Rattus norvegicus: one gene and its partners. The protein of the gene in region 1 interacts with the protein of each later gene in a biochemical or structural test. Links are inferred from orthologs where the notes say so. Each region holds a gene or a part of one and is shown on either strand. Other genes may lie near its edges.

What was found.
Region 2: the proteins of Cask (region 1) and Cntnap2 form a complex in vitro, tested with the Homo sapiens proteins (2 studies listed by BioGRID and IntAct, with this or other methods). The link is inferred for Rattus norvegicus from reciprocal best matches to the Homo sapiens genes CASK and CNTNAP2.
Region 3: the proteins of Cask (region 1) and Atp2b4 form a complex in vitro, tested with the Homo sapiens proteins (2 studies listed by BioGRID and IntAct, with this or other methods). The link is inferred for Rattus norvegicus from reciprocal best matches to the Homo sapiens genes CASK and ATP2B4.

The regions. Positions count from the first base shown.
Region 1 is NC_086039.1:11,884,250-11,891,848, forward strand, and holds part of Cask (peripheral plasma membrane protein CASK), read left to right. Parts: intron 1-1,004; coding exon 1,005-1,201; intron 1,202-5,472; coding exon 5,473-5,588; intron 5,589-7,599. UniProt on the Homo sapiens protein: Multidomain scaffolding Mg(2+)-independent protein kinase that catalyzes the phosphotransfer from ATP to proteins such as NRXN1, and plays a role in synaptic transmembrane protein anchoring and ion channel trafficking.
Region 2 is NC_086022.1:75,105,672-75,113,370, forward strand, and holds the start of Cntnap2 (contactin associated protein 2 precursor), read left to right. Parts: upstream 1-3,686; 5' UTR 3,687-4,385; coding exon 4,386-4,482; intron 4,483-7,699. UniProt on the Homo sapiens protein: Required for gap junction formation. Required, with CNTNAP1, for radial and longitudinal organization of myelinated axons.
Region 3 is NC_086031.1:47,754,767-47,762,465, reverse strand, and holds the start of Atp2b4 (plasma membrane calcium-transporting ATPase 4), read left to right. Parts: upstream 1-3,589; 5' UTR 3,590-3,756; coding exon 3,757-3,949; intron 3,950-7,699. UniProt on the Homo sapiens protein: Calcium/calmodulin-regulated and magnesium-dependent enzyme that catalyzes the hydrolysis of ATP coupled with the transport of calcium out of the cell. By regulating sperm cell calcium homeostasis, may play a role in sperm motility.

The DNA of each region.
Region 1 (7,599 bases):
TAAAATATCACATAATAGTTCCAAAGCCTTCAGGTTGGTTTTCCGGTGACTTAAATGGGACATTCGAGCTTAATGTCAATAGATAGAATCATTTTTCTTGAAATATATGCTAAAAAATAATAAATCTGATTTTAAGTTAAGAATTGTTTAAGTTACTGATTAGTAGAATAACCCCCACAGTGTAATCTCAGGATTTCATAACTGGGGCAACCTTGGATATATAGTGCCTTATTTTAAAGCACTTAGAATTCCAGTCATTCATAAAACGCTGCTGTGTGTTATAACCCCTGTCTGCCAATGTGTCTCCTCAATTCATACACCATAAAGCTCAGAGCCTAAACTATGCATGCCTTAATGCTCTGTGCTGATTTCAAGTGTTACATTGTCAAAGCAAGGGTTTACAGTCACCTTTATTTTCTCAGAAAAATAAAGCACAAATACAAAGCCAAAATCTCTCTAAAGAAATAAAGCTGTATGTTGAACTTTTTAATATTGTTTGAGTTACTTATAGCTTTGTCTGCAGTATATAGACACGCTGTCAGTTGTCATGAAAGCATGGCGTCCAATGTCATGAGAGCAAGTTACCAACCCACAGTTCTCACTACTTTACCATGAAAACCTACCCTGAGTACTAGTCTCTATGCCTTAAAGGCTGCTTCATGGTCATGACAATGTATCCATACCATTACCATGACCACAGCAAGTTTTAAAATTGGTGCGCTTAATTATGCACCTATCTTATTGCTAAAGGCAAAAGTTATTCAACAAGTATTTTAAGTGTTCCTTCCAAATATAAACAGCGAAAATGAAGCTCTATGCATCAGAGATGGCACCCTGTTTCTAGTGGTAGATGTTTCTTGTGTCCTATCTCCATACATCGTTTCAGCTTTCACCATCTGATGTCCTGTTGTGTTGTCAATGTTGATGTGTGGTTATTAGAATAGCATTCACTGTTTTTCTTCACACCGCTGTGGCCTCCATTCTTACAAACTCCTATTTTATAGATCTATGTAAGAGCACAATTTGAATATGATCCAGCCAAGGATGACCTCATCCCCTGCAAAGAAGCTGGCATCCGGTTCCGAGTTGGTGACATCATCCAGATTATTAGTAAGGATGACCACAACTGGTGGCAGGGTAAACTGGAAAACTCCAAAAACGGAACTGCAGGTCTCATTCCTTCTCCTGAACTTCAGGAATGGTATGTTTTTGTTACTTTATGGTGAAACTGAGCCCTCTCTTCCAGTTCTCAGTTTCATATTTTATATTATAAAATCCTTTTCTTTGGTAACTATTTAAGTTCCAGTTGTCTAAGATCAAATCCAAACGTCAGTCGTCCAGAACTTCTCAAACCTGGAGAGGTTATGGTCAGATACTGGTTCCAGTTAGACCCACACTTTATGTATAAGGAAAAGGGGAGAAGACAAGCTAAGTGGATGGCTTCAGATCATTTGGGCAAAGCCCTCAACTCCCATAAACTGTTCTAATCTTTTTACAATGGTCTTTTCTTCAGTTGTATCACTCTGTATCCTTCTATGACCACCATACCTCATCAGGGAAAACGCTTCAAGAGCCATGATTTGATGTCACTCAAGTTATTTAAAGGTGCAGCCTGTTCCACTGTTGGAAGAACGCACAATCAGAGGCTTTGTTCTTGGCCTTACCATTCTTTAAGACTGGTTTTTTGGAGTTTAGGGGTGGGCAGCTCAGAAGTAGATGCTTGCTATATAGAAGTATTACCCTGGGCTCCATGCACAGAACAAGAGACAGAGACAGGAAAAGAGGATCTATTCTGTTAGAAAGCTTACACTGTGAAGCAGGGTGAAATGAGACAGGCATTTTAAACCCTCTTTAATTGCAAGAAGACAGGACTGTATCATCTATTAAATGTCCATAATCTATCCTCTTAAATATGTTCCCAGTATCTATCAGAAATCTACTACAAGAAAAGAGTAATTTAATACCTGGGTTTGTTTTATGTAACAAAACCTAACCTGCCAAAAACTGGAATTCTGCCACTCCCTAACCTATACCCCACAAAAATACTTGAACTTAGTTAAAAGTAACCAAAAATATTGAGTCTATAAATATTTCCACTTTTTCACCAGTTCTTTTCACTATTAAAGTGTTTTCTTGGTTGATCTCTTTGGCTTGATTGCCCCTTTCAGCTCTCTCATGTTCCCTAAAACTATTCTTACATTTGAGTGTTAAAGTAGATGAAGGCTTCAGATGCCATTGTGCTACAAATGGGGAAACGGGGCCCAAACAGAGAAGCAACAGCCTGCCATCTGGCACTGTCTCTCAGTCTGATCTTGTGCAGACAGTTTAACATAAGCAGGAGAAAAGCAGTTTCTAAGTCTTTCTGATGTTGCTACTGTGAATTATACATTTCACAAAATGTCTTCTAGAGAGCAGTCACATGAGCATTTATTCAGAATAACCATGTATGGGCTGGGGATGTAGTAGCTCAAGTGGTGAAACTCTGGGTGTGATTCTCAGCACCAAGTAAAGCAGGTGTGGTGGTGCAGGCCTGCAGTCCAGCACTAGGGAGGCTTAGGCTGGATGCTCAGAAGTTCAGGGTCATCTTTAGTTATAGAGAGAGTTTGAGACCATCCTCGGTTACAGGGGCTGTACTGAAAGAAATGTTAAGGGAAGAAAAACAATAATTACATAGATTGCAGATTTCTTTCTAGTTGCAGCAGTGATATAAATCATGAGCTCTTAGTCCTCTGCAGAAATCTGAAGAAGCTGCAGAAGGAAAAGGAGGTTTGCTTCTTGTCTCTGCTGAGGTCTGGACTGTTCAGACCAATCATTCTGCTGCAAAGAAAAAATGCTGCAGAAACTAAAAGGGTGTTTTATTTTGCTTTGTTTTTTAATGAGCTTGAAAGTGCTGAATAACTCAAATGGTGATGGGGAACCCAACAACCAGTTCTTCTATGAGAACCTTTCCTCAAAGCTGTAAGCAAAATCTTAGAGTACCAAGTGTCCCGTCTTACCAAGAAAGCATTCACTATTATGCCAAAGAACCAAGAGTAAGACCACAGGCTTAAGGAAGATGGACAATCTATGAGGAACCCTTCCTCACATTGTTAGGACCACAAAAGTTGGTATACCAGAGATTTAAAAAAACTGGGAAAGGGGATAACATTTGAAATGTAAATATATAAACTATCCAATAAAAAATTAAATAGAATAAAAATTTTAAAAATACTAAGTAATTGACATTAAATGTTAGTTTATCAAAAAAGAAAAACAGAGGCTGGAGCATGGTAGCATATACCTGTAATCCCAGTACTCAGGAAACTGAGGCAGGAGAATTTGAGTCCAGTCTGGCCTGTATAGTAAATTCAGGACCACCCTGGACTACATGAGACCCTGTCTCAAACAAAAAAGGAGGAGGACTCTAGATTATTTCCTTGTTTACAGGAAAATAGGACATATTAAAGACATAGAGGCACAGTTTAAAAAACAATTCAAGGGGTTGGGGATTTAGCTCAGTGGTAGAGCGCTTGCCTAGGAAGCGCAAGGCCCTGGGTTCGGTCCCCAGCTCCGAAAAAAAGAACCAAAAAAAAAAAAAAAACAATTCAATCAGCTGAGTATTGTAGAACCCATCTGAATCCCTGTACATTGTGCACTAAAGAAGGAAAATTTCTAGAAGTTCAAGGGTAACCTAATCAACATAGTGAGATCCAGGCCAGCATGAGCTACAGAGACCCCCCTCTCAAAAGGAAAAATAAATTCGACTCTCCTGAAACTACAAAATATAAAACTGGTTTCTAGTTTACTGAGACAAGGGTAGGGATATAGCGCAATGATAGAATGCTTGTCTAGAACTATGTAAAGCCTTAGGGGGAATTTTGAACTGGGAGTGGTAACTCATGCCTGTAAATCCCAAAGGAAGATAAATTTAAAGCCAGCCTCATTTTCAGTGACTTTGAGGCCAGCCTGGGCTATATGAAATGTAGTTTTTAAGAAGAAAATAAAAGGTATCAGGCAATATGGTACACATTTGCAGCTCCAGCACTTAGAGGTACAGGCAAGAGCATCAGCCAAGTCACCCTTAGCTTCATAAAGAGTTTCAGGCCACTCTTCGGTATTCAAGAAGCTGGCTCAAACAAAACAACAGAAAATTCAATAAGGCTTTAAAGAAGACAGAGAAACATTGCATTAATTGACTGTAAGACTCAGTATTGTAACGGTGTCTATCCTTCCCACATTAATTGTACCAGTGCAATCTCAATTAAAATTCCAAGCTTTGAAACTGACAGACTAATTTTAAAGTTTACATGAAGAGGTTGGAGAAATGACTCAGAAAATAACTAAGAGGATTAACTATGCAGTCAGGAATCCGAGTTCATATCAGCACCCACATAGCAAGCCAGGTGTTTCCCTCTAACCCCAGCTCCTAGGCAAGCGAAGACAGGGAAATCACTACAACTTGCTGATTTTCAATTTATCCAAGAAAATATGAGGAACAGGTTCAGGGAGAGAACCTGCCTCAAAGGACTAGGTAGAGAGTGACAAGGATACCCAACACTTAACTCATACATACATACATACATACATACATACATACATACATACATACATACATAATTATCTTTAATTATTTGTGCCTAGAAACCCACAAATTCAGGAATGGCCAGGATGTTCTTGAACAAAGAACAAGGTCTTATTCAACCAAATATGAAAACTCACTAAGGTATAGTAGTTCAGAAATGCTAAGCTAGACCAACTAAAGAGACAGAACCATAAAGCACTTTTAAACCTAAATAGCTCCTTTCTGTGTAACTAGTAGCATAGCGCAGCAGTGAAGAATGCTCTTACTTTTTAGTATAGCCTGCTAGAACAATTGAATATCTCTAAGAGCCAAACTAACTGGTAGAAGGCAGGGCTTCTTAACAAAAGAGAATGGACTCCTACTTTACATGATAAGAAAAAAAATTCTTACACAATAAAATATGAAAGACAAAACTATAAACTTTAAGAATTTCTGTGTGATTTGTGATGCAGTTTAGTTTATCAGAAATATTGCTTGGGTTGCTGTATAAGAAATTCCTAGAAACTTGCCTGATACTAAGCACTAAGCACTTAAAACAGGCTAATGCGTAACAAATCAGGTTGCAAAACAGGCCTGCCTTGACTCACAATCCCTTGATCAACACCCTGAATCTCACAACCATGTATTAAGACTTCTGACCCTTATATCAGCTAATGTGGACCCAAGGAACACAGCAGTTTTAACATAAGCCTGTAGTCTTAAGCCATTCCTAAGGGTTGTCATGAAAGCCGAAGAAGCCTCTTTATGTCCATGATGTCCAGAACTGAGGAGGGATAGTCATCCTGTTGTGTGTAGCCGTCAAATGACTTTTTCTCTTTTTTCAACATAAAACTATGATTAACTTTGTTGGATTTTTCCCCCCTTTCTTCCTTTCTTCCTTCCATTCTTTCCTTCTTCTCTTTGTGTACTAGGCGAGTAGCTTGCATTGCCATGGAGAAGACCAAACAAGAGCAGCAGGCCAGCTGTACTTGGTTTGGCAAGAAAAAGAAGCAGTACAAAGATAAATATTTGGCAAAGCACAATGCAGGTAGGAAAAGCATGTCTGTTTCTGAGGCGGGGTCCAACATCTCCGAGACCTAAACAGATACAGCATTTACATTTGCTCTTCAGAGTTCTCTTTCCAGAACATTGTAGCCTACAAGACCTTGACCAACTTGCAGATGTGTTCAGAAGCCGTGCCTCCTACCAGTTAGTTTGTAGAGCTCTACTTTCTAGGACAGAGGTGCTGTTGGGAGGTGGCACCCCTCTATGATGAAAGGAGCTCCACAGGCTAAGTCCTCCCATGAGAAATAAGTGCTGGGGTGCGCTGAGTCCCTGGGGTTCTCTCCTCTCTGACAGACAGACATTGTCCTTAAGAGGATAACCGTCCCTCCTAGTTCCTCTTAGTTCTTGGATTTGGACCCCTGACAAATATTAGAGACAAAGATACACAGAAGGGCTGTGCTACAGAGGGTTCTGTAGCTGATTTGAAAGGGCATGGGTAACATGGATACTAACTTGGGTTAGTTTCTATGACTATTCACCTTCCCCCATTGTACTTTCTTTTTTTTTCCATCTTTAATAAATTGGGTATTGCTTATCTACATTTCAAGTGTTATTCCCTTTCCTGGTTTCCATGCCAACATCCCCCTAACCCCTCCCCCTTCCATTCTATATGGGTGTTCCCCTCTCAACTTCTCAAAAACACAAGGTGATTAGCTAGGCTCTCCCCTCTGACTGTATTGAAGCTGGGGTTCAACTGAATCATGGGGTTGACTGTTGTGTTAAAACTGAAATGCTCACCAAGTAAAGTGTGATCGGTTCTTGCACTTGAATTCCCAGAAGACTCACAGGATATCATTTAAGCTGAAAGAAAATATGTGACGGTATACTTAATTTCATTGACTTCTCAATAAGGGACTTTTCCTGAGGAATTAAAGCTTAGCATTAGCTTTGTTTCCAAGATTTCAGAAATAACTCCAAACTATCAAGCACTTGGCCCAAAAAAGCCCAGTGACTGCAGTCATCCATGTGCAATTCAGTCCATCTCTCTCTGGGAAATCTAGAAAGCAGCATTCTCTGTGCAGCATTCCAGCATGCATCAGCATGTGCTTGGAAAAGTTCTTTAAGACTTCTGCAGTCTCCTTTCTTAACCAGAAATTAAATGTAAGCATTTGTGAACTGCCGTATAATCCAGAGTGAATGTGAATTTCCACATGGATTAAACTGGAATGCTCAGTTAAATGAGGGCTTTTTGCCTTCCCACCAGTTACATTATGCACACTTATTCCCAATGAGGAGTATACTTGGTTTTGTATTACCACGGTGCACTAGCCACACAATGGCTTTTGTGTTTGTTTCATAAAGGAAAGAAATACATAAAGCCATGTATGTAAATAGACACTAGCAACCACTCTGTTCAAGTGGCACTGTTTGAGAAACTAAGTGTTCAGCATCAGCACAAGGTAGCTTAGCTGAGATATCAGACTTACTGCCAAGTCTTCTTACTTGCCTTCTCTTCTGTCTGCTTCCACTAGTGTAAGACAATCGAACCAGCACACAGGAGATTAGTTAAATCTAAATCACATTAGTTAAATACAAAACAATTAATCAGCTGGGAATTGTAGTAAAGTATTTGCCTAGCATATGCAAGGTCCTAGGTTCCATCCCCAGCATCCAAATGAGAGAGGAAATTTTCTAATTTAACTTGTCATTTGTATAGTGTTAAATGATATATAAATACTGATGACACTAAATTAATTCAAACCTACAAAAGCAAAGAAATAGCCAGGTAAATCTGCTAATATTTCATTATTTTTATACTCTACTAATTGGAAGGCATGTAGACATGAGTATTCACTTTGTCGGTATTCTTTAACTTGACTCTGAGGATAACTAAGTGAATTGATCAGAAAACCTGACCTCTCTAACTGTTGACAAAGACTTAATGAAATCATTGGTCGAAGAATTGTGCCAGAGAATCAATATCCAGTCTGACAACTAGTGGTTCTCATTTCCTATGGTTCATGTTTTCTGTTCTTGGAACACTGGGTATCACT
Region 2 (7,699 bases), on another chromosome or scaffold:
AGACATCAGTTTTAGAGGGACCAGGCAGTCAAGCATAATGGGATAGAAGAGAGGTGCCATGGGAAGTTTGGAGGGAGAAAATGAAAAGGTAAAGTACTGTGATTTTATTTCAATTTTAAAATTAATTGTAATAAGTTTACGTTTAATATTGCTTTCATACCCGCTTCTCTAACAAGCTCCTATGACTGATTATTAATTGCAAGTATATTCTTCTACATGCACTAAATATCCTTTTCTGACTACAATGTCTTAATTTGTGTTAAACATCAGATTGATCATTAATTTGAGAAAATATGTGTGAATTTCTCTAAGCAAATCATTTTCTAGATTTTCTCCAAATAACACTAGACATTCCACAATTTTATGAACACAAAAATAAAGTAGTATTTTAGCAATATTAAGCGTGTACTTTTCCCCTGTCAGTCTTCCTAACTATTAATGTTTGATTATGATACTAAACATTATATAACACCCAAGGCCTGAAAGATTTGCTAAGTCCAGATTCCAGACAAATGTTATATACACCATGTTTTAGTGTAACTTTTAGTTCTTTCTCACTAGATTAGGAATCTCAGTCTTTTAGATATATTCTATTATCTTCAACAAAACTTTTGGAAAGGTTTCCATAGGGTGTAGTGTATGAGTGACAGTATTCCCTTTCTAAATGGGTACCACAACCAAATATTTACCTGCAACACATACATGAGATGCTTCTGGAGGCCAAAGGGGGCCTTAGAAGTCATCAAAATGGAGCTAAAGACAGTTGTGAAAGGCTGTACTGGTGCTAGGGCCTATGCTCTTGACAGAATTGGGTAGTCTGTATTCTAAAATAAAATTGTATTTTATGGATATTCCAAGGCTTATTTTTCTATGACAGGTGACTGATGTACAGTGCCCCATTCAACAAATGTTTTTGCTTAAAGATAGTATTAGAGTCCAATTATTTTAGCTCTTTTACCACTTAGCTATAACTTTAGTGGGATTCAAAATACTTTCTTACATAATAGACATCAGTAGGCCTATTGACAACGTTTCAATTTCATTATCAGTATCTGACTAAGACAAACAAACTTCTTGATTTCACTCATACTAACAGATATATTCATAACTTTCTACCAGATGTTCTTCATCATGTCGAACTGACATCTTAGAAACCTGGGCTCGAATGCATTTTTCTTCTGTCAGGTTGTTTCTGTCAAGTACTTGTTCATAATGATTGAAAGGAACTAATCTTTTTTCTCAAAAATATTGCAATTCGCCTTGCTTCTTTTTCAACCATGTCCATATATTCTCTCTGTGTGCCATTGCCCGGAGTTTTACAACCCTCAAGATTTGATGTACTTTGTATCCAGCTAATGTGACATTTAAGTTCTTTGCCAAATATATTCAATCATTTTCAAACACAATCACTGACCAGACTCCAGTCACTGAAACATGGTTATCATATATAATTGACATCAGCAAAGCTATCTACTGCCCTTCAATTATATTATCAGTATCTTAACAAGACAAATAAAAAAGAGTTTTCAACCTTCTTACTAACAGACATGAATTTACTTTACAATGATTTCAATAATAAAATAGTGTGAAAAATAAGAATAAAGCATTAGCACCCATGAAATCACTATTGAAGTATTATTGTTTTCGATATTTTGCATGTCTTCTAATATTAGGAATCAAGATTGAGAAGCAAACATAGCTGTGTAATGTTGTTCATGACGTCACTCAATTCATTTAGTAACTTCTTTGGTCACACATAAAATCAGCCCATGTTAGAAAGCACGAAAACGACACAGTTTGGTCTGTGCCTCTTAAAAACACTAGAATATGTTATTTTATGTTTGTTTGATTTGGGTCATTCAAAGAAATGATGATAAACTGATTAGAATAATTTTAGAGAAAATTATTTTATATTAGGAAACAATTAAGTAGATAATATCTAGTAAGGCTGTTTTGCTCACGATTATAACATGTATATTAGGTACAAATCTGCTTATTGTACATCTGGAAAGAGATACATTGAAGCACTAAAAACATAATACTCTCAATTGCTCCCTTTTTCAAAAAAAAATTTACCTAAAGTACTTTAGAACCACCTTGGTGGCACCTAATACAATCGTTAAACTTGAAAGTCATACTTAAACAATTGACTCTTGTAAAAAATTGTGCTCTTTGACAATGTATTTCTAATGTTCTGTCCCTTTAAACTCTTGGAATTGGTTGATGAGAGTTGTATATAGAATTCTGGAATGTGTTCACTGACATATCGGAGTTGAGGAATTCAAATAGAAAAAAGACATTTTCTAATTTGCACAAATCCCTATTTTATGATGAGAAGAGTGACTTAAAATGTGTGGCATAACATTGTTCTACTCCATCATTGGTCAACTATGTTTTTTTATTTTTACAGACTTTACTCAATCTGTAGTTCTTACTAGAACTTAAAATCAAATAAGGGGTGGGGGGAGAGATAAATTAATGCTGACTCAGGCCCTTTAACACCATACTGATTATGTAGTGAACACATAGCTCTGTTTACAGTAGACTTCTCTAAGATATAAGCATAACATTAAAATTCACATTCTATTCACAGAGTGGGGAAATCATCACAAAAATTTATTTATCACAAAAGGCAAATGTATGTTTATTGCATAACTCTGAAAGACAGCGTTACTCCTCCTCAAACCTCCCTAAACATCATTAGGTATTTAGAGATCTATAATTCTTAATTGTGTCAGTAAAGGCTGTGAAAGGATTGATTCTTTGGGGAGGAAATAATACAAGTACTTTCTTGGACTGGATGCTAGGAAAACAAATCAGTGCAGAATGTGGCTAGATAGGAGCTGAGGGGTAAGGTTGAGAATTATTAGTAAAATCATCTAAATGATTAGAGAAAGCAGCATTTCTATAGACCTTCTTAGTTATTAATACTTTCAACACTTAAGCACACCGAAGTAATTATCATTTGACAACATATTTACTCTACCTTTCCTTTTAGGGTTGTTTGTGTTTGTGGTGTGTGGTTTTCTCAGCATCATGTGTTTGGTGAATGTGTATATATGTATGTCTGCATCCATATATATATATATATATATATATATATATATATGGAAATGTGAATTAATTACATTTAAAACACCTGAATTAGGTACCTCTGAACAATCCTATCTTTCTCTGCTACAGCCAGCCAGGATGTTTAGACCTGTCATTTGGTGTTAGGATCACTCGGAAGACCTGCCTTTCGGACTCCTGATTGTGGTTCTTGGGAGTTCTAAGCTCCGGGAGCCTGTACCATCTCTATCTGAAGGGGAGGAAAGAAGCCAAAGAGAAAGCATCCCAGCAAGAGGTTTTTCCCTCCTACTGCTGGGTCAGGGACTAGCCAGGTCTGGAGCAGGGTTCTTAGATTACACAGCAAATCAACTTCAGCACCGCGGACAGCAGCGCCTCCCGCTTAGACTGAGGTGCATCTCTTCAGCCTTGGCCCCGACTCCAGTTAATGGACCTGAGCCACTAGCTTCCTTCTCTCCTTTGCTTCCAAAGCAAACGAAGGCAGGGCAGAAAGGTTGTTACAGCAAGAGGAGTGCAGTAGGAAAAGAAAAGGAGGAGGAGGAGGAGGAGGAGGAGGAGGAGGAGGAGGAGGAGGAGGAGGAGGAGGAGGAGGGGCCGGGGAGGGGAGGGGAGGGGAACAAGAAGGGAAGAAGCGGGGAAGCTTCCCTTCGCCAGGCTCGCCCGGGTCTGCAGGCGCTGCTGGAGGCAGCAGTCTCCAGCTCCCGGCTGCGGTGGTAGCTGCTGAGCTCTCTCTCCAGCGATGCTTCTTAGTGCCGCGCCACGCTGAGGCCGAACGTGTACGGGGGCTTGCCTCAGCTCCATACATCCTTGATCTCAGCCTGGGAGCTAACAGCCTACTGGAAAACCCTCTGAGTCGCGCTGCCCAGTGGCCACCCAAGCGCTCGCCCGCAGTGGCAACCGCAGCATCACCGGACCCATCGCTCTCGGTTCTTTCCTACGGTCTGAGTTCTCTCCAGATTTCCCCCACGCGTCCTTTGATTTTTTTTTCCAGAAGAGAGGGCGGGGTAGGTGTCAGTCCCCTCCTCTCTCTCACCCCTCCTATTCCTTCTCGGTTTGAATTTCTTCCCCTGGCATTTCACTGGCTCTCAGAGCAAGAGACCAGACCCACAGAGAGGGGAAAGCCAGGCTGCGCCTCCCTTGCTGCTGCCAGCCCAGAACTGGAACCTAGAGAGGGTGAGGGGAGAGGAAGCAAAGCAGGAGGAGCTTGGCTTCCTCTCGCATCTGAGGACAGACCGGTTCACTTCAAGAACCTCACAGAGAGGCAGACTGCATCTCTGCAGCGAGCTTTTGGAGTACCACTGGCCCGGAGGCTAAGGATGGTGATTTCTCTGAGAGCAGGCTGCAGGGCAGCGCTCTCGCTCTGGATTCTCAGCAGCTTCATCTGCAGAGCCTGGACAGCTCCCTCCTCCTTCCGTAAGTAGCTCTCTGCTTTCCTGGCTCCTTACTGGAGTCACTTCAGTGCCGCATTGATGTAAGGGCGCCCGGGTATCAACTCTGAGGTGCATTCTCAATTCTTGTCCCTCATGTGTGTGTGTGTGTGTGTGTGTGTGTGTGTGTGTGTGTGTGTGTGTGTAGGATACTTCCTGTTTGTAGCCACTGCCGCAGAGAAACTCCAAACCGAGGAAGCTCCTTGTTCAGTGGAGATTTTCATAGTGCTGGATGCTTCTGGAAAGTTGTTTCTAGTCTTGAAGATTGCTCCGCAAGTGCTTGGTTAGAGTGATGAGAGTAGCCGTTTCTTGATACTTATCAGTGCAGTATGGAGATGATTACATATTACTTAGGACAGAAAACTAGCATAAGTTTTTGATTTTTATTGATGGCTTTTACTTGTGTTGGTCTGAGGAAGAAAGAGGAACATATTTCAAGCAGTTTGGGCACCTATGCGTTTACTAATCTCTTTGGCCCTCCTAAAAAGTTAATGCTCATTTAACCCTTCCTTAATTGTATGTATTTTTAAAGTGAGGCTAATATCGAGACTGACACTGCACTAATTCCTTTGTGGTTTGGAGTAATGAGCATGACTCATGCAGGCTAGGACTTGGGACAGCCAGTGCAATGGCATAAGAGATGGTCTGAAAGTTTTTAAGAAAATGATGTAACTGCTCAAAAATTTGTGCTTTTAAGGAGGGGGGTGGAAGAAATGGAAGATCTGGCCAATTTTATGCATTGCTTTAGAAATTTATACTGTGTATGAAGAGGGGAAAGGTATAGTTGGCTTTGTCTGAGAAAGAGTTAAACGCTGGACTGATTCTGTAACACTTTGCACAGTTTTCCTAAGCATAGCCTTGTTTGTGAGATTGGGTGAGTCCATTGTTGAAGGAGAATGGAGTTCAAGGGGAAATATTCTCCACTTAGGATACATAAGTTCAGAAGTTTCTAGATGCTTCACACATGATTTGCACCCCATACCTCTTTATAGATTCTGTGGCTGCATTAATGTTCACCTTTGTCTGTATTTCCATATTAATATAATTATTACACCGTATAAAATATTCAGAGCAGCCATGAAATAGTTTTCTTTTATGTTTTGATTGACAATCATCACCAGTGCTATGATTAGTAGTATTTGGACATATTCCCAAGTATACGTCATGAGATTCTTCTGCGTTGTTTAAAGAAAGAGGTGGCAAAAAAGAACATAACTAAGTTTTTGTGAACTTGAAACTTTTATTTATCTCAAAATATACACAAATCTAAAAATATGTGCTATTTTATCTGTGTTGATTTTATAGACTTAAATGGAAATTGTAAAGCTACCTTTAGTAAGTTATGTTGGTGGAATTTTAATTTTCACTTTAAAATATGCTTGTACAGTGGAATGGAATTGGCTTCCACGTTTTGTACAGACTTACTAAAAGTTAAAATACGTTGTACTTTCCTGTTAGAGTCCTTATTTCCCAGTAGCTTCCAGAATTCTGTATCTCATCTTTCTGTGTGTCTGAGTAGAAACGGGTCGATCTGAATCATTCACTATGCATCCAGAATTTTATATTTGCCCTTATTGCATTGGTATAGTTCAAAGATTCAAAAGTTATTTCAGAAATATGAGCTTAGCTTTTGCTGCTTAGAATTCAGTGAAGAACAACACCAAAGTCAATATGTTTAAAATTCTCGTGTTTGAGCTTTAGGGTTCATTTAATTGTTATTTCAAAACCTAAATAATTAAAATATATTAGGTTAAGATAAGGTTTTATTATATATGAATACGAACTCTGAAACACAAACAAAAGTTGCCTAAAACATCAGAGTGAGGATGGTAATGAGTGATACCTAAATTTACCGATGATATGGAATTCTCAAATTTATTTTTGCACATAATGAAAAATATGCATTTTGTGTTGTATTTTGAAACACTGCATGATACTTATGTTTTTAATACGTAGAAATGCTTAAAGCAGAAAAATTGTAACTCCATGAATCTAAGTTAATGAACATCTCAACCAGGAGGGGTCATCATGACACAGAAAGTAGTAGAAAACTCTAAAAGGAAGAGTCCATGTAGTCTGTGTTTGGAAAATACGATGGCTATGCTCAAACATCCTGCTTCAGAATAACTTTGTAGTATAGAGAGGCATTCTCGTATAGATGATTAATAGTTTGAGTTTTCTATTATACATTTCCAGCATACCCTGGCTTAATGAGTTTTTCTTTTTGCTGATCTGGGCATGTTCATATAGGTTCTACATCCTGTGTTTCATGCATTTCAACTTAAATTAAAAGAAACATATCTTTTTGATTGAATGAAATATGATCTATTTATCTGTGATAATAAGAATGATGCAATCGTGGTCTGAGAAGTATATGCTTCCTTTCTTGTGAAGGCTCCTATGAGAAACTCGGAACACTTCACCACTAGGGGGTAAATTGATTAGACCATGCTTTTAAGACTTACAGAGCTGCCCTAAATGATAAGGGGCTTAAACTAGGACTTAGTAAGTTTGATCCTTAAATATTACAGAATTTTTGCTTATGTAAGTTTTACCAATAAAAGCTAATTTTTATGATTCTCATGGAGTCATTCTCATATGATTTACCTGACTCACATTGCAAAATGAGTTTTTCTTGTATTTAAATAATCTCATAAATATACTGTTAGATGAAGTATATACATGCTTATATGTGGTTTAAATATATATCATATAATATAGAAACATAACATATGAAATCAAATAGATATCAATAGAAATGTAAATGTATACATATTTAATCTTTGTAACAACATTTAAAAATTTTATTTTACCATTAAGGTCATAGCTAGGCCTTTTTCTGTATAGTTTCAAGTGGCTGTCATAAAAATATGAGAATAGTTTATAGATCACTTTTTACTGAAGTCATATATTTTTCCTCTAAGTGGTATTTTCAAATATAATCAGCCAAAATAATATGAAATCAAATGTCATTATAATGTTTCTAGTTCAAACAGAATGATTTTGTTAGCCAAAAAAAAAAATTAACTGAAAACATGCTTTTGAGAAACAGGACTCATAGGAGGAAGGGTTATATTATTTTTAGGTAATGCAAATCAGTAGGAAAAAAACTGTTAATTGATCAGAGTTAAATACATATCTTTCTTTATAGGCATTAACACCTAAACTCAATGTATGGTAATTCTTCTGTTTTATTTCTATTT
Region 3 (7,699 bases), on another chromosome or scaffold:
AATCGGCCTTCGAATTTTCTCTTCCTTGTAGGGTGGGGGCTGCCTGGAGAGGAAAAAATGGAGAGGTTTGTAGAGCAAATGTTCTCCTGCTTAAAGTACAAGAAAACAGAAGTTCACTCAGATCAAATGAGGTTTTTCTCCCATTGCTCGAATGCCCTGTGCTTAACATCAAACATCCTTCCAACATTCTGAAACACGTGTTCGTTAAGCCCAGAATGCCCTTCCTCTGTTACTGCCTTAGCCCGATGTGTTAGGTCGGGCTGAGTCTTCTCCTAGTTAAAGGTCCTTGCAGACTAAAGGTGGCTGGGAGGGTAGCAGGTGTGTTTCTGAACGTGCTACGGGTGTACTCAGTAATAAAAATATCAACAAAGTGCCCACGAGATACAAGCTCTCTTTTAGGTGGTGGGGAGAAGGCAGTGAACAAGTTGGGCAAAAGAATCCATGGCTTCACAGACTAAACGCTGCAGCGGGCAGGGACGGAAACGATAAAAATCATCAAGAATAGCGGCTCGTACCTGTAATCCCACCCCTTAGGAGGCAGAAGGTGGGGTGAGGTGTGTGTGTGTGTGTGTGTGTGTGTGTGTGTGTGTGTGTGTGTGTGTGTGATGAGTTTACAGCCAACCTGGGCTGTATTGTGAGCCTCTTGACAGCCTGGGCTCCATAGCAAGACTATATCTGTACAGGCTGGAGAGATGACTCATCCGTTAAGAGCACCGGCTGCTCTTCCAGAGAACTCAGGTTCTGTTCCCAGCACCCACGCGGCAGCTCGCAACTTCTGTAACACAAGCTCCCGAGGATCTGATAATCCTCTTCCAGCCTCTTTAGCTACAAGGCGTGCACGTGCTACACAGACACCCCACGCAGGCAAAATAACCATATATGTAAAAAAATTTAAACTAAGAAAAGTAAAATGTACCAGACAGTGGTAGCAAAAGCCTTTACTCCCAGCACTAGGGAGGCAGGGGCAGGGGCAGGGGCAGATCTTGGAGTTTGGGGCCAGCCTGGTCTACAGAGTGAGTTCTAGGATGGTCAGAGAAACTCTGTTTCAGGGAAAAAAGAAAAGAAAAGGAAGGAGGGAAAGGAAGAGAAAAAGCAAGAAAGGAAATTAAAGTCTGACTTCCAGCTTCATGCTCGTCAGCACGGTCTTGAACATCCCCCTCAAAGGTTAAGGGTCAAGATGGTTCTCCTGCTGCTGCAGCCCCTCTCAGTCCTTAGAGGCTTGGAGAACTAAACTAGGATAAAGTCCGCTGGCAGTTGGTGGGGGAGATGCATTCCAAGATACTCACTGGATCCCTGAGAATAACAGAAGCCTGTGCATACTCATACACACACGTTTTTTTTCCTAGAAGATACTTCCTATAACATTTACTTTTAGAGGCAGGGCCTTGCCTTGTACCTCTGACTGACCCTCAAACTTGTAACACTCCTGCCTTGACCTCCCTGAGTGCTGGGATCATAAGAGTTCACCATTATACCTGGTGACCGAGTTTAGAGATTAGGCACAGAGACTGAGGAGAGAATTTAGTTGGTAAAACACTTGCATACAAGCCTGCAGGCCCGAGTTCAGTCCCCACTGCCCACATAAAAGGCGAGGTGGTGGCATGTGCTGGTACCAGCTCTGGATAGGCAAAGACAGGAGGATCTCTGGAAGTCGCTGGCTGGACAGCCTAGTGTATGGGGAGCTTTAAGTCAACGAGAGACCCTAGCCCAAAGTTTACCTATGTCCTCTAAGCACATGTATACACACAAAAAGGCATACGTAAGTTAGGTACAGGAAGAAATTAACAAAAATAATTAGCAGAATAATTAGGCAATTGTGACGGCATAGTTATGTGAATGTGTGTCCCCTTCCTGTACCATCGTCTGATCTTCTTTCCATGGGATTTGAATGGGAAGGGACTGCGACTGCTGGTGTGGGTCCTGCTCCTACGATAATCTTAATGATGGAGTTAGACCTACTGCCTCAGGGAACCTTCTTGGGATTCCCTGCTTGCTCAACTTATTGTGAGCCTGGGTACTGGGGAGGTGGATGGGGCATGCTGGCTGAGGGGGAGACGTGTGATAACCTCCATCCCAGAGGAACCTGCCTAAAACATGATTGGTTAGAATCAGCAGGGGCTTTGGCCAGATGGGATTTCTAGAGAAAATAATTGATAAAAAGAATCAAGTATTTCTCTGATGACTCTAGAGTCAGGTTAACCTTCTGGAAGAAAAAAAAAAGCATCTGTTTATTACCCAGCCAATTGAAATGCCTTACCAGGCCCTGGCAGCATAAACCAATTGCAGGGCTGCTATTTAACCAGAATGAGGCCCTATGTACTGTACAACATGTAGCTAGCCCTTGTCTGCAGCTGAGCACAGGGCTCAGCTCAGTCTCTAAGCCACCTTCACCCCCGCTCATCCCCACATACACCTAGTTGTGCCAGCCCACCTCAGCCAGCATGTGCTCCAGGTAACAACTATCTTGCTGAGGGAAAAATGCCTACTTTTCTCTGATGTGTCACTATGCTAATGTGAGTTCCCCTGGTGCTCTCTCCCTCTAAGGACAGTGTCTGTTTATGGACTGAACAAACCGCTCTCTTATCTCTCCTTCCCTGGAGAAACTTGAACACTCATAGGTTTCAGGCTTACTATCTTTCTTCCTCAGAGGTCTACCTGCCCCTTATAGAAAAACTGAATCCGCCCTGTGCCATAAACTGTTAGCCTGTTTCATTCTTTCCTTACCAGGAAAAGCCTCTGGGAGGGCTTAGCTCTGAGACCAAAATTTGGTGCCGTAGGTTTCCAAATTTTCATACCACTGAAGGCTGAACATTCTAAGAGACCTTTAATCAGCTTGTCTTCCTGGTTTATAAGTGTCTGTGTTGGAAGTAGATGGCACCCAGGCAAGCCACCACTCTTCTCCCCCTTGGGTCTAGATTCCTTTTCTGATTCTTCTCACATCTTACAGGTAAGAGAAGACAAATGTATTCTGTAATCAGTCAGCCCATGAAGTAGGGGGAGCATTAGAGGTCATAACTTTTTATATGCGAGTTTCTTAAGTTAATTTGTGTGGCTTGATTTAGAAGAAGTAAGACTTAAAGATAATGTTTCTGGGAGAAAGTCTTACCAGTCAGCAGGCCTACCTCGGGCTTCCCATGAGTCTGGACACTCAGCTTAGGCCTCAGTTCTCAGTTCCGTTCAGACACCAACTGTCATTTAAACCCTTCTGCTGGAGAGTAACTTGCAGAGCCTGGATCCTCATGGCTGCTCTAATTGTTTCCTTTTGTCTTTTTTTGCATCTCTATTCCAGAGGCCTAGCCATCATCGTTATCCAGGGAGCCCTCCTCTTTCTGCTGACGCCACCCTACCATCGAAACTGCTGGTTGTTGCTAAGGTTGCCCCCATGGTAACATGCCTATCCTGTTTACACTTCTATATGAACAAGTAGTCTAAACTAGGAACCTACGTACTCTGGACAACCATTTCCGTCTCTACCCAGAGGACACCAATCATCGTGACACTACGTCCGTCTTCTACTAAGTTCCCCCAACCTCTTCCTCCTCTCACTAGTAGACTTAATACAGAAGAAAGGATCTCTAGGCCTGGTGTTGCTACTCTGAAACTTATTGCACAAGATATTGTCAATTTATCCCCTAACTGGGCTCCCAGAGAAGAAAAAAGTGGGAAGAAACGAAGAAGAGAAGGCAAGAGACACTGCTCAGTTAGAGGGGAAACTCTACATCTTCTCTGGTTGAGAGTCTGGTAACCGAAGGCAAGATGACGAATCCATCAGGACATAACTTGCCAGCCAACTCGGTAGCTGAGAGCTATGAAGGGGAGTTTGGCTGCACCTTAATGGACCTGAGGAAGCTCATGGAGCTTCGTGCAGCTGATGCAGTGACCCAGATCAGTGCCCACTATGGAAGTGTACAAGAAATCTGCGCAAGACTGAAAACCTCCCCTGTAGAAGGTAAAGGCCGTTTCAAGGGTTGGGGATTGGAGGACAGTGACTAGAATTTTGAAATATTATGTCTAGCTTCTAAGGAAAGTACATTTCTGGAGACCCAATAAGTTGTTTTTTGTCTGGTGGGAAGAGCAGTCATCTAAAGCAGAGATGGCCATTGAAGAGAGGACATGAGGAGCGTTCTACAAGTGCCATGTTTAGGAACCATGATTCTCTAAATCATTCTCTCCTCCGATTTAAGTATCAATCCATAGTATGGCGGGCTCTTATTGGTGATGTAGATGCTCTTGTTAGTATGATCAATTTCCCCGTTCTTTCAGATTTTGATTCTAGGAGAGCATAAGATGGGTATCTTCCTCACACTGACCTTGAAGTTCAATGGGTGAGAAAAGACTACAGGATATAGTATTGCAGCCATCTGAGTACCTTATTGTACACAGAAAATGGGATGCCATATTATAAATATGTCTTTGGACAAATTGGCATTGTCTGTCCTGGGGTTACTGATTTTTTTTAATCCTGTATAATAAAAAATTTTCCCTACCATGTAGGGACCAAACCCAGGACTTTGTACAAGCCCCACCACCACCACTAAGCTGTAGCCTCAGCCCTCTTTTTTACTTTTCAATCTAAGACAGATTCTCACTGCATTACCCAGACTGGACTTGAACTCACTCTGTAGTGTAGGCAGGATTTGAGGTTATGATTCTCCTACCTCAGTCTCCCATTTGGTTGGCCTCAGAGGCCAGGTATATATCTTATACCCTTTGAGTTCAGATATTGGAAATAACGTTTATACATTGCCCACAGGGTTACTGGTATTAAGTAATACAGTGCATATGTGCACACGTGTGTTTGCGTGTGCATGTGCAAACTGATAATAGGTGTTGAATAAATTAAATATAGGCCATATTCCTGGAGATTTTGCTAAAGTGTGAGTGGCCATGAGTTTCAAAGAAACATAATCTGCAGTGTGGCTAAGGTATGTGTGACTGCAGCTGCTGTCTATTCTCTGTGATCCTTGTCATCTCAGAGGCCTGGTTTTAGGATGACAGTGCTTGGGTGCTCTCAGTCAGCTCCCTGGGCCTTCTAACGTGTGTCTAATACTACCTTTTGGATACCGTCCACTTCCTGCAAGCTGAAGTCTTTGTTTTTGTTATTGTTGTTGTTGTTTGGAGGTTTTATGATTGATTGGTTGATTGATTGATTGATTGATTGATTGATTGATTGATACAAGGTTTCACTTCGTAGCCCAGGCTGGTCTCAAACTTAAACAAATCATCCTGCCTTGGCCTCCCAATCACTAGCACTAGAACTTATAGGCATGCGCTGCCACACCCACCATCCCCTCCTATGTTTGTTTCCCTGGGACAGTCTCACTTTGCTAACAAAGTTGACTGGGAATTTGGGACCCTCCTGCTTTAGCTTTTTCTAAGTGCTAGGATTGCAGACATGCAGCACCATGCCTGTCCCCTAAGTGACTTTCTCAGTGACTTATACAGAGTGTAGGCTGTAAGGAAAGTCTGTACCTCCTTGTGCTTACCTGAGACACTACAGGTGTTTACAGACCTACATCAGAACTGAAGCTGGATCTTCCTGTTTTCCTTCTTTTATTGTTCTGGTCAGATGTTTCTTTGACAAAGTGGGACTTGGGGATCCAGTAAGCTAGAACTTGGGGGCTCCTCAGAACAGGATCCAGACTTTCCTCCCATCTCTCTAACCTTCTCATATAGCTATGACAATTTACCTTCTCTAAGAAGCCAGTCTGTTACCAGAAGACCATTCACAGGCCTCTCAGCCTCCTATGATTTTGTCACCTGTGGGAGGCTCCTGCAGATTAATAACGGGAATACGAGAATGAGTCTAGATTCTAGTTAGAAACCAACATGAAGTAAGTTTGAGTAGATTGGGGTCAGGGAGCGTGCACTTAAAGCCTTTCTTCCTCAGGAACTGAGAGGAGACACTCATGAACCTGGATGTTTGAAACTAGCCTGGCTAGGGAGCAGTGGTAGTAGTAAGGAAAATAGAGTGCCCCCTTATTCTTTGATATTTGCTTGGATTGAGCACATGCTTAGTGTAGATAGAACTCTGTAAATTATAGCTAAAATGGAGCCTTGAAGGACCATGAGATTTTTTAACACTAACATGGTTTTGTTAGCCTCTGTTTACACAATTCTAGAGGCAGATATGACTTACTTTTAAATTAAGTTTTCTTACCTTTCATTAACTTTGTTGTTTGACTAGCACTTAATTTCAGAATTTTCTGTCTAGGCTGAAGGGTTTTAATGACCCACCCGAGGTCTTTGTAACGGGTAGAAAATAATGGAGCAGTTTCTATATTTTGACCTACAGTCTATCAATATTCTGTTGCCTCTTTTGTACAGAATTACAGAGGACTTAAAAATGGGTTTTGCATTTTTAAAAGATGTTTTATTTGTGTGTATGTGAATACACACAAATAAATTTGAGTAAGTTCATGTGCATCATGAATGCTGGTGCCTTAAGTTGCCAGAAGTTGGTGTCATGGATCCCCTGGAACTAGAGTTCCGTGCAATGGCGAGTTGACATGTGGGTGCTGGGAACCGAACCAAGATCTTCTGCAAGAGCAGGACGTGCTTTTAACTGCTGAGCTATTTTTCCAGCCCTGGTTTTGCATTTTAACGTCTGGTAAAACATGGCATTGGGCCCAATGCTCATGCTAATACTGTTCCTGCACTGCATTAGTGTTGGAGTGAGGTTGCCCCTCAGGCTAGAGTAGGTCAGAATAAAGAGGACCTGGGAGTGGGGATCTGGGTTACTTCAGCATTTGACTGTGACTGGCCACAAGGTTTAGAGAGTGACCAGAAAAGAGGAGGGACATTTAGAGAAATAAGAAAGGCCAGGAAAGATGTAGAATAAGCCTCAGGCACCAGTCTACATTTGTTTGTTTGTTTGTTTGATGTTATGTGTGTCAGTGCATTTGTATATGTTCCATGTGCAAGCTTCTTGTTGCCTGTGGAATTCAAATAGAGCATCAGGTCCCCTGGAGCTGGAGGTACAGATGGTTGTAAGTCATCATGTGGGTGCTGGGAACCAAACCCGGGTCGCTTAGAAAGGAGCCAGTGCTAGCCATCACTCCAGCCCCAAGTTCTCAGTCTTTGTGGTTTTATATAAACAACTGTGAAGACACAGGGCTGGGAGCTTAAAGGACGCTTTGTCAAAGCCAGCTTGTCATTTAGCACCGATGGAACCCTTCTCATTTTCTTGCTTCTCTCCCAGTTCCAGTTCCTTTCTTTTAAAAAAAAGTTTATAATATCATATCATCAACTATATCTAATAGTGGGCTACAACATTTTCATACACATGCATAATGCATTTTTATCACATCTGCCATCACCTTCTCTGGTCCCCACCTCCCTACCCCGATCACTTCGTCTTCCCAACTCATCCCCCTTCTATTCTCACTTCTCATGTCTTCTTCTTCTTCTTCCTCCTGGTCTCCTAAAGACCCATTGGACTTCACTAGAGTTGTTACATAAACATGGGTGACAGATCATTTACGGAGCATAGGTACCCTACCAGTGGGTACCTGCCCTAGAGGGAAAAGGTCTCTGGCCTCTCCCATCCCACTCTCACAATCATTAACTGCCCATAGACCCTCAGGGAGAGTTGGGCCTCATAAGCCCTTCCTTCTCCCATCCCAACTTTTCTTGTCCGCTTCCGCTTGACAGAAAAGGAGAAGGGAACATGTGTTGAGTCTGACTGAGTGGGGTTCCC